Linked DNA regions of Arabidopsis thaliana. The protein of the gene in region 1 interacts with the protein of each later gene in a pairwise test. Each region holds a gene or a part of one and is shown on either strand. Other genes may lie near its edges.

The links. The genes of interacting proteins can lie anywhere in the genome.
Region 2: the proteins of YSL3 (region 1) and AAP8 interact in a protein complementation assay, tested with the Arabidopsis thaliana proteins (one large-scale study listed by BioGRID).

What each region holds. Positions count from the first base shown.
Region 1 is NC_003076.8:21,753,570-21,759,444, forward strand, and holds YSL3 (YELLOW STRIPE like 3), read left to right. Parts: upstream 1-1,681; 5' UTR 1,682-2,156; exon of another isoform or gene 2,157-2,254; 5' UTR 2,255-2,334; intron 2,335-2,423; exon of another isoform or gene 2,424-2,448; 5' UTR 2,449-2,511; coding exon 2,512-2,884; exon of another isoform or gene 2,885-2,979; coding exon 2,980-3,155; intron 3,156-3,389; coding exon 3,390-3,487; intron 3,488-3,576; coding exon 3,577-3,711; intron 3,712-3,795; coding exon 3,796-3,985; intron 3,986-4,073; coding exon 4,074-4,191; intron 4,192-4,269; coding exon 4,270-5,207; 3' UTR 5,208-5,364; downstream 5,365-5,875. UniProt on the Arabidopsis thaliana protein: May be involved in the lateral transport of nicotianamine-chelated metals in the vasculature.
Region 2 is NC_003070.9:3,264,274-3,269,342, forward strand, and holds AAP8 (amino acid permease 8), read left to right. Parts: upstream 1-1,612; 5' UTR 1,613-1,699; coding exon 1,700-2,024; intron 2,025-2,705; coding exon 2,706-2,799; intron 2,800-2,913; coding exon 2,914-3,128; intron 3,129-3,226; coding exon 3,227-3,369; intron 3,370-3,607; coding exon 3,608-3,835; intron 3,836-4,027; coding exon 4,028-4,453; 3' UTR 4,454-4,550; downstream 4,551-5,069. Other genes in the region: AT1G10000 (Ribonuclease H-like superfamily protein), read right to left, coding at 1-515. UniProt on the Arabidopsis thaliana protein: Amino acid-proton symporter. Stereospecific transporter with a broad specificity for glutamate, aspartate and neutral and acidic amino acids.

The DNA of each region.
Region 1 (5,875 bases):
TAAATAATTATTCAAAGGAATGCATGGAAGAAGTGAATTACATATTTTTAAAAAAAATATAGGAAAAGAAAAGTAAAGTTCGTACAAAAGAGAGTAGTATTATTCTCTTTTTCTTCTCCATAGGGCCTCGTAATATCTACTTAGCATACGAGGACACATTAATATTCGATCATGTATATATATGCCTACGACTACGAGACATTCGAAAGTTATTGTCTAGTGGTTTGTATTCACACAATTTCCGTGTTAACAGTTTTAGTTCCATTTCCTTCATATAGAGATCTAAATGATACTACTACATATCATTTAGTTTAAGGAAGGACGATGTAAGAAAATAAAAATCTAATATACGAGAGAATTGTAACACGTTCACTTCATAACTAGCTAGCTAGTGGTACTTACCAGTTACTACCCCAACTCTAGTCAACACTACATTAAATACTATAATGTGAACAAAATTATTTTGAACCAACGGCTGTTACAGTAGTTTATTCAACTTTATCAACCAATGCATTAAATTGAACATATTTCTGGCCGATTGAAATAGGTTGGGAACGATCTTATAAAATTCAGTCTTAAACAAGTCTTGGTTTTCAAAAATGCAAATTCATTCGTATGTTCTTGGCAAAAAATGGTTTAATTGGTTTGATCTGATCTTATCCTATCACGCAGGATTGGTGTAATATAACGCACCAAATTCGGCCAGGAAACGTCCGAATATAATAGTCCAATTCTACTTATGAATTTGACGTGTTGACGTAAAGAATCAAAAGTCGAACTTATTGAATAATTTATTCGACTTTAATTTTCTTTTGGGGTTTTGGTATGTTTGTGACCACATGGTATGGAGTTGACATTTACCATTTTCTTGATTGACTACCTAAGAAAATTTTAATTATTATTCACATTATGGAGAGTTATGTTTCCATATTTTGGCTTTAATATTAATCATGTGGTCAATAAAATAAAGAGGATAGTTATGGCATAAGATTGTCCATAATGTCATCATCTTGTTTAGTAAAAGACAGTCACATGAACCGGAATCTCGGTTTACCAAACTTTTCACTTTTTCAGTTTCACATGAATGTCACCAGATTCATTGAGTTAAACATGTATTTTAATACTATAAAAGGTTAATTAGTTATGATATCATATTTATGACTTTTAAAAGACTTTTGATATTGTAATCTGTAACTAGTTATAAGTTAACCATCTCTTATAATTAGAACAAAAAAAAACTTAATTATGGATGAACTGATTTTAATGGAAAAAATATTTAGAAATAGAAATACATTCATAATTTATATCTAAGTCTAACCAAAACACAAATCTAAAGTTACGAATAAATCATTTCAAGTGTAATTTTACTAACTATTTGACTCCTAATCTTATTTCATCACCTAAACTCCTAATTGTTATATATTTATGAGAGATAATGACATTTGTTCCTCTACATACTAATCTAATGGTTGAATAGTCATGTGTTTGACAAACTTATAAAGTTTGATTTTTCGTATGTGACATTTAGTTATACATCCATAAATTATATAACTTTCTTAGTGAGATATATGAAGGTTATATATGTGGAGTATATTCTTAATAATTAATTGTTACCCTACTTTTTTTCTTTTCGGTGACGTAACTTTTATAAAGTTTAACCCCTTAATGATTATTGTACTACATAAACCCCAAAACTCTTTTCTCTTTTCTTTTTTCTTTGTGTAGTACTGATATCAAGTCAACGTGCGGTACATAAGAACCCAAGATCCCATAAATAAATTCTTCTTGGTTTTAAGCTTTCTTCTTCATCTCTACTTCTCTATATAACTTTGAGTAGTCTCACCAAAGTCCATTTTTAAAAAATCAACTATACCATTTTTAGCTATTCTTTGGTCTTCGTTTCGTGTAAGCATTCAATGTTTTTTTTCTTTTATCTCTTTGGGAAACGGGAGTGTGGTCTTCGTGTGTGTGTCCCTGTTTCATTAACCAGTTACGTTTCATTCTCTTCTTTTCTTACGTTTACTACAGATTTCAGAAAGAAAAAAAAGTGTTTGAAGCAAAAGAGATTAATGGCAGATTCTTGAGTCATTAACTTTTTTCTAATTCTTTTAATTAGATCTCTGAACATAAGAGATAACTTGCGTCATTATTCTATGGTTATAAAGATTATGCACTTGATTAAAATAATCTCTAGTTTTCCTTTTTCTCATTTGCTAAGCAACTGTTTCTTTTTCTTCTTCTTCTTCTTCTTCAGATAATTATGCTTGGGAGTGGAAAGCAAGAAAAATTCTAAACTTTATATAAAATTCCCAGAATCAATTGATCCAAAAAGAGGTACCATTTTTTTCCTCTCGTCATTTTCCATAAAAGTAAGCTTTTGATTGATATTTAATTATTAAAAGAATCTGTCTTTTGGGTTTTTGTTTTGACAAATTTTTGTTTTTTCAGTATTGTCAAAAAAGATAATCAAGAAGAAGAAACTCTGTTTTTTTGTTCTGTTCTTGGAAAAAAATGAGGAGTATGATGATGGAGAGAGAGGGAAGGAATGAGATAGAAAGAGAAGTAATAGATGACTTGGAAGAGACGCAAAACGAAGGAGATGATTTCAAGTCAATACCTCCATGGAAGGAACAAATCACTTTCAGAGGAATTGTTGCAAGTTTAATCATTGGTATAATCTACAGTGTGATCGTGATGAAACTAAACCTAACAACAGGTTTGGTCCCAAACCTAAATGTCTCTGCAGCACTTTTAGCCTTTGTCTTCCTTAGAAGCTGGACCAAGCTGTTGACCAAAGCCGGGATTGTGACTAAACCGTTCACTAAACAAGAGAACACTGTTGTCCAAACATGTGCTGTTGCTTGTTACAGCATTGCAGTTGGAGGTTCAGTGAATTTTGACCAGTTGTTTTGACTGTTTGATCAGTTTTTGTTTGGGGTTGGATCATTGTTTTGAGCTATGTGTTTGTGTGATTTGCAGGTGGGTTTGGTTCATACCTTCTTGGTTTGAACAGAATTACTTATGAACAGTCAGGAGGAACTCACACTGATGGGAATTATCCGGAAGGCACGAAAGAGCCTGGAATCGGTTGGATGACCGCTTTCTTGTTCTTTACTTGCTTTGTTGGTCTTTTAGCATTGGTTCCTCTAAGAAAGGTAGAGATTATTTAAGATTCTGTCTCATTGAATTTGTAGTTAGAGATGTTGCGGTAGGCCAAAGTTTGCGGGTCAGTCCGGCCCATATAAGTGTGATATGGGCCTGGCCAAACCCGCTATAGCCAACATAGGACGGAGATTAATATTGGCCAAGTTTGGACTATTAATCCCCTGTTGGCTGGTTTGGGTCTACATTGCTAAGTGTTCATTATGCTTCTTTTTTTGGTTAACCAGATCATGATCATAGACTACAAGCTGACATATCCAAGTGGAACAGCTACCGCGGTTTTGATCAACGGTTTCCACACTCCTAAAGGCAATAAAATGGCCAAGTATTAACTCGATTTTTTGGCAGTCTCTTAGCTCTCTTTCACCACTAATTCTAGAGTTTTTGATTTAAATAAAATCTGTTTATATGCAGGAAACAAGTGTTTGGGTTTGTGAAGTACTTCTCATTTAGCTTCATTTGGGCTTTCTTCCAATGGTTCTTCTCTGGTGGTACAGAGTGCGGTTTCATTCAGTTTCCAACTTTCGGGTTAGAAGCTTTGAAGAACACGTGAGTATTATTCTTAGTTCTATTGACTGTTTATATATCAACAGATAGAAACAGAATCTTGATGATCTTGAAAAAACTTGACAGATTCTACTTCGACTTTAGCATGACATACGTTGGAGCAGGAATGATCTGTCCCCATATTGTCAATATATCTTTGCTTTTTGGCGCGGTTCTGTCTTGGGGAATCATGTGGCCACTCATTAAAGGTCTTAAAGGAGATTGGTTCCCATCAACTCTTCCTGAAAACAGCATGAAGAGTCTCAATGGTTACAAGGTTCCATACAAAAAACACTAGTACTCTACAATAAACTCCGCCCTTTCTTTCGCGTACTTTCGTTCTTAATTTGTTCATAACTCTTTAGGTGTTTATATCAATCTCATTGATCCTCGGAGACGGGCTTTACCAATTCATCAAGATACTTTTTAAGACAGGAATAAACATGTACGTCAAGTTAAACAATCGCAACTCTGGGAAATCTAGTAAGTATACACCAAAAAAACTATAGAAAAATCGTCATTTCAATAATGTATTATCTGATGTTCAAACGTAAATCGCAGATTCGGAGAAAGATAAGCAATCTATTGCAGATCTTAAAAGAGATGAGATCTTTGTAAGAGACAGCATTCCATTATGGGTTGCAGCAGTAGGATACGCAGCGTTCTCTGTTGTCTCGATCATCGCGATCCCTATAATGTTCCCCGAGCTGAAATGGTACTTCATAGTCGTAGCTTACATGTTAGCTCCATCGTTAGGTTTCAGTAACGCTTATGGAGCAGGGCTAACAGATATGAACATGGCTTATAACTATGGTAAAGTCGCTCTGTTTATCTTAGCCGCTATGGCAGGGAAACAAAATGGTGTAGTCGCGGGACTTGTCGGATGCGGGTTGATAAAATCGATTGTATCGATTTCTTCTGACCTAATGCACGATTTCAAGACAGGACATTTGACTCTGACTTCACCTAGGTCGATGCTTGTGAGTCAAGCGATCGGTACAGCGATCGGATGCGTTGTGGCGCCTCTAACTTTCTTCTTGTTTTATAAAGCTTTCGATGTCGGGAACCAGGAGGGAGAGTACAAAGCTCCTTACGCTTTGGTATACAGAAACATGGCAATTCTTGGAGTTGAAGGTTTCTCTGCTTTGCCTCAACATTGTTTACAGCTTTGTTACGGGTTTTTCGCATTCGCGGTGGCGGCAAATCTCGTTAGGGATAGGTTACCGGATAAGATAGGGAATTGGGTTCCATTACCGATGGCAATGGCGGTTCCGTTTCTTGTTGGAGGGTACTTTGCTATTGATATGTGTGTGGGAAGTTTGATTGTGTTTGCTTGGAATATGAGAGATCGAGTTAAAGCCGGTTTAATGGTACCGGCGGTTGCTTCCGGTTTGATATGTGGAGATGGTCTATGGATTTTGCCGTCGTCGGTTCTTGCTTTGGCCGGCGTTAGACCTCCTATATGTATGGGCTTCATGCCGAGTAAATATTCGAGTTAAAGATAGCTTTTTACGAGTTTTTACTTTTTTGTGTAGCGACAAAAAAATTAGCTAAAGAATTGTGGAAACAAAAAAAACAGTTTATATAGGAATTGTACTTTGTAAGTTTGTATACACAATAAAGTAATAAACTAGTCTCTCAATTCTATTTAAAAATCCATGTCCCAAGTAACTTCTCCCCAAAAAGAAACTCAATATTTTAGAATAAGGTCAAATGGAATTAAATTCCAGAAGATATTTGCCAAAATAGTGATAAAAATACGGTTAAATTGGTATATGTTTTTACTGACAAAAGGCAAGATTCTTCTATTTTAAGATTTATTTCTTTCTTTGAAATCTGCTAAACGTTGTTAGATCACACTTTATGTGTCTGTTTTTTTTTTTGTCAATTCAGCACACGTCATATTTGTATTTTTCAAAGTACCAAACGTGGACCAAAATAAAATCTCGTCAAAAATGGAAACCAAATTTTAATTTGATTTGCACAAAGCCCAATTTGATTTGTTTAAAGTCAAAGCCCAACTTGACCAAAACTACCCCTGCTCATCCAAACCCTAAGCAAAATATCGAGGGTAGTTTCGTATTTTGTTTATATTGAACACAATTAAGTAGGTGAGGAACCTCTATTTCTTCCGTCTTCTGCTGATTTCTGAGCTTCGGAGCTATCG
Region 2 (5,069 bases), on another chromosome or scaffold:
CTCTGTTGTTGCCAAGCCGCATCCACGTAGCAGAGAAAATCATGAGTCAGAGTTGTTGTGGAGTTTGGGCGGGGGGTCGCTACACGAACTTTTGGGAGCGCCAATTGGGCGGATTGCCACGCTAAGGCATCCTGAACCGCCTTTGTAACAGTCTCTATCACAGAGAAATGAGAATTTTGGAAGATAAGCTGATTTCTGGCTTTCCAGATGTGCCAACAGATCCAGGGGAAGAGGGTTGCTGTATGAATCCCAACCGGGGGGAGAACGATGGTTTTCTTAAGTAAGTTAAGAGCTTCCAAAATAGGGGTACCGATAGGGATGTGACCCAATTGGAGGGGCGCTAGGTTCCAAACTTGTGCCGCAAAATCACAGTGAAACAGCATGTGGGTGGAAGTCTCCGGAGCCCCACAGCGTGCACAATCCCAAGTTGATGATATATGCCTTCTTACGAGTTGTGCACCCACAGGGAGAGCTCCTGCAGCCGCCTTCCATAGGAAAAGTTTGATCTTCGGCATAGTGTGGAGTTTCCAAAGGTTTGCTTGCCAGTTAAAGCGGACCTGAGCTGTTGGTAGCACTGTCAAGGATGTTACCCCGTAACCTGATCTTGAGGTATACTCTCCAGATTTTACCGGTAACCAGACCAATTTATCCACACCCCTACTTGAGGGCACAGGGAGCTGTCTGATGAGCTGTTCATAGTCAGGTAGGAGGTCAACGTACCGTACTTTAATGGTGTAATATGCGACATTTATTATGTGTCATTTTAGATATCTGATTCTGTCTCGACAATTGGGATGGGCATTTTATGGATATAGTTAGAATGGGATTTTATTCGAAGGAATATTTTGTGGATATATTTTAAAATAATCCACTAAAAAATCAGGTTTATGTTGGTCAAAATCCATATTTAATACGACAAAATACAACATTGAATTCATTAATTGTGCACAAATTACGGATTGTGAGATAAGACTATAAGAGTGAAAGAAACGATAAGAAGTAATGAAGACTCAAAATCGTACATAATTGAAATTAGTGAAATTTATGGTTTGGTTTACATGTTTTTGTAAACCGTTAAAATAGTAGTAAAATATAATACAAACATGTAAATCCACATAATTTTGTATTTGATGCGATACTAATAACAAAATGTTGTAGATATATCATAATATTTAGTTGATACAACAATATATATATATAGATTCACATCAATACATCATTATAACTCAATGTTAATGATTTAATTTCCCGATTAATGAATCATGTGCATGTGAGGATTTGAGAAGATAAATGAGCAAGATAGAAGAGAGGATATAGCTATGCAAGAGGCCAAGATCTGAAGGAAATATCTCTCTGTTTTACTCATCTAATTTTAATCAGTTACCTAATTTCGATTATTCGTAGTGTCGTTAATGTAGGTAAATCCTCTTTTCAACATGCGGACCAATTTTTGTTTCCGGAATAAGCAATAGTGGTTACACATTCAAAATCAAAGTCAAAAGAAATAAATCCTCGTAATAGAAGATTCTCTTAATAAATAAGATTCAACGTACAAAGATGCTCTTTCCATATAAACATCGATATTTGTGTATATAATACATGTAAGTACGTGATTGTGAGGGAGTACTCTAATAAGACGACCTCTGTCAATAACTCTCTTCCCCTCTCTTCTCTCCTCTGGTTCAGTGGTTCTCTCACAATGATGGACGCATACAACAATCCCTCGGCGGTGGAGTCGGGTGACGCCGCCGTGAAAAGCGTCGACGACGATGGTCGAGAGAAGAGAACGGGAACATTTTGGACGGCGAGTGCGCACATAATCACGGCGGTCATAGGCTCAGGGGTGCTGTCGTTGGCTTGGGCTATAGCACAGCTTGGTTGGGTGGCAGGAACCACAGTTTTGGTCGCTTTCGCCATCATTACTTACTACACGTCCACCTTGCTCGCCGACTGTTACCGTTCGCCGGACTCCATCACCGGAACACGCAACTATAATTACATGGGCGTCGTCCGATCTTACCTTGGTATGGATTCATATAAACAAATTCATTTTGTGTCTTTATCAGCATTGTTTTTCACAGATTTTTCAGTTTTCTAGACATTTTTTCTCAGATGAACAAGGATTTTGTTCATTTGATATCATTTAGATTTTGCCTAACTAGTCTCAATTTAGGACATGTGTTTTGATTTTCTTCCATTTCTGTCACAATGATGATGGCTGGCGAAAGAAAAAAAATCTGATCTAAAAATATATATTTAATGCTAAGTTGGAATTTGTAAATCTACAGTATAATTGGCTCATTTCAACAATTTTTTACCATGTAAATTTGTTGAAGAACATTATTGTTGTTGAACAATGAAAGAAAAAAATATGGTTGTTAGAAAAAAATGATTTACGATTTTGCCAAGTGTGCATGCTCTTTCATGGGAAGATATGAATTAATTATCAAAATCTATATAAAAAAAAGGAAGATAATCTTCATTCTTTCATAACTTAGTTAATAAATTAAATTGATTAGGATTGGTAACATAGTCAATTCAATTTATCCCGTTAAAGAATGTTATAAATTCGATTGTTGACCCCTCGTTGAAAATTTGGAATTATGCGGGATGTTTAGAAACTTTGCCATAAGACCAAAAGATTGGTAGTATTTGATAGTAGTACAAGAGTAATCATTTTTCTTCTTTAATAACATAAAACGCAGGTGGTAAAAAGGTTCAGCTATGTGGAGTGGCACAGTACGTGAATCTCGTAGGGGTCACTATTGGTTACACCATCACTGCCTCCATAAGCTTAGTGTAAGTCAAAGATTCTGATTTATTTCGATTATTTTGTTATGGTTATACTAACATGTTGTTCTGAATAAAATTACTAATAATTGTTTGATTGGTGTTTTTGTACGTCTTCGTTAGAGCGATTGGGAAATCAAATTGTTATCATGACAAGGGACATAAAGCGAAATGTTCTGTATCGAATTATCCATACATGGCGGCATTTGGGATCGTCCAGATCATTCTGAGCCAGCTTCCTAACTTCCACAAGCTCTCTTTCCTATCCATCATCGCCGCGGTTATGTCCTTCTCTTATGCGTCTATCGGAATAGGCCTAGCCATCGCTACTGTAGCAAGTACATTCCCCTTCTTTATCTTAAAACATAGTGGTTTATATGGATGATTCTTCAAAGTTGACACTAACCGTGAAAATGGTATACAATATATATGAAAGGTGGGAAGATTGGTAAGACAGAATTGACAGGGACAGTGATAGGTGTGGACGTAACTGCGTCTGAAAAAGTTTGGAAATTGTTTCAAGCGATTGGAGACATTGCCTTTTCATACGCTTTTACCACTATTCTCATCGAGATTCAGGCATGTACTACTGATTCCTACTATCTTCCGTTTACTATTGTTTTCATTTGCTTGTTATTATTAATTTCGCCAAAGAGAGGTAAAATAAGAATACCTTGAAGATAAGATGTTATTATTAATTAGACAGTTAGGAAAAAATATAGATGGATGGATGATGGATAAAAATAGTTTCATATTTTAGATATGTGAAGCTCTAAAGATAGTGACGCTCTAGTAGTATGTCTTGTTTATTTTGCAGGACACATTGAGATCAAGCCCACCAGAGAACAAAGTGATGAAACGAGCAAGTCTTGTCGGAGTCTCAACCACAACTGTTTTCTACATCTTGTGTGGTTGCATCGGATATGCTGCGTTCGGCAACCAAGCCCCTGGTGACTTCCTTACCGATTTTGGTTTTTACGAACCTTATTGGCTCATCGACTTTGCCAATGCTTGCATTGCTCTCCATCTAATAGGTGCCTATCAGGTATAACTCACAAACAAAAGAATAGGATAAGTGTGTAACATACATTTACCGTGTTCAAGTTCATTAAAAGTCTCATTATTGTGTTAGAATTTTTAGCTTTAACAATTCAGAAGATTGTAGAAATGGAGTTATTACTAAATATTGTTTCTAAAAAATGCTCTTTTTTTTTTTTTATCCCTGTATTATTCGCAGGTGTATGCGCAGCCGTTTTTCCAGTTTGTTGAGGAAAACTGCAACAAAAAATGGCCTCAAAGCAATTTCATCAACAAAGAATACTCGTCAAAGGTTCCTTTGCTTGGAAAATGTCGTGTCAACCTCTTCAGACTGGTTTGGAGGACATGCTATGTTGTTTTGACAACATTTGTAGCAATGATATTCCCCTTCTTCAATGCGATCTTGGGTTTGCTAGGGGCATTCGCGTTCTGGCCACTCACAGTTTATTTTCCGGTGGCAATGCACATTGCGCAGGCTAAAGTCAAGAAGTATTCTCGTAGATGGTTGGCCTTGAACCTCCTCGTATTGGTTTGCTTGATCGTCTCGGCCCTTGCCGCCGTAGGATCCATCATTGGCTTAATTAATAGTGTCAAGTCATACAAGCCCTTCAAGAATTTAGACTAGTGTGACTTATAATCTATGTTTGCCAAAAAAAAACCTTGTGATCCATATGAATTATATGAAATTTATTTCATGCTAAATATTTAGTACTTAATGTTTCTCCAAATAATGTGACGTTCTGTTTTCAGCTATGTTAAAAACCAAAATGCTAACTTATGTATTAGTACTAAAATTTATGAAAATGTATTAGTTATTGATTTATTTTTAGGACTACAATTATTGAATCAACATTGGATGTTTGAGTCCCATGAGATATGGATTTCAGCTTTTTTCAAATTCGTGTGGTTGTGTCAATTTCGAGTTATTATTATTTATTTTGCTTAATGGAATTGTCGGGGAAATCTTGAAAACAGACACTCACAGATTGTGTAATTTATTTGGTTTGGTGTGTCCTACATAAGTTGCTATCACATCTTATGTATTGGAGGAGTTGGGCAATAGAGGATCAAGGCAAGTTTGGTTTTCTATTAACGTTTCTACTCTGCATTTGCTTACAAAGTCATTTTCAAGGTTTTGTGGTCGTATGTCACTTGATGGCTACCATCATAACCGCCATGTAACCAAACAATTGCCTTGCGGTTACCTACCCATATGGCGCATCTAACCAAGAGATGCATCC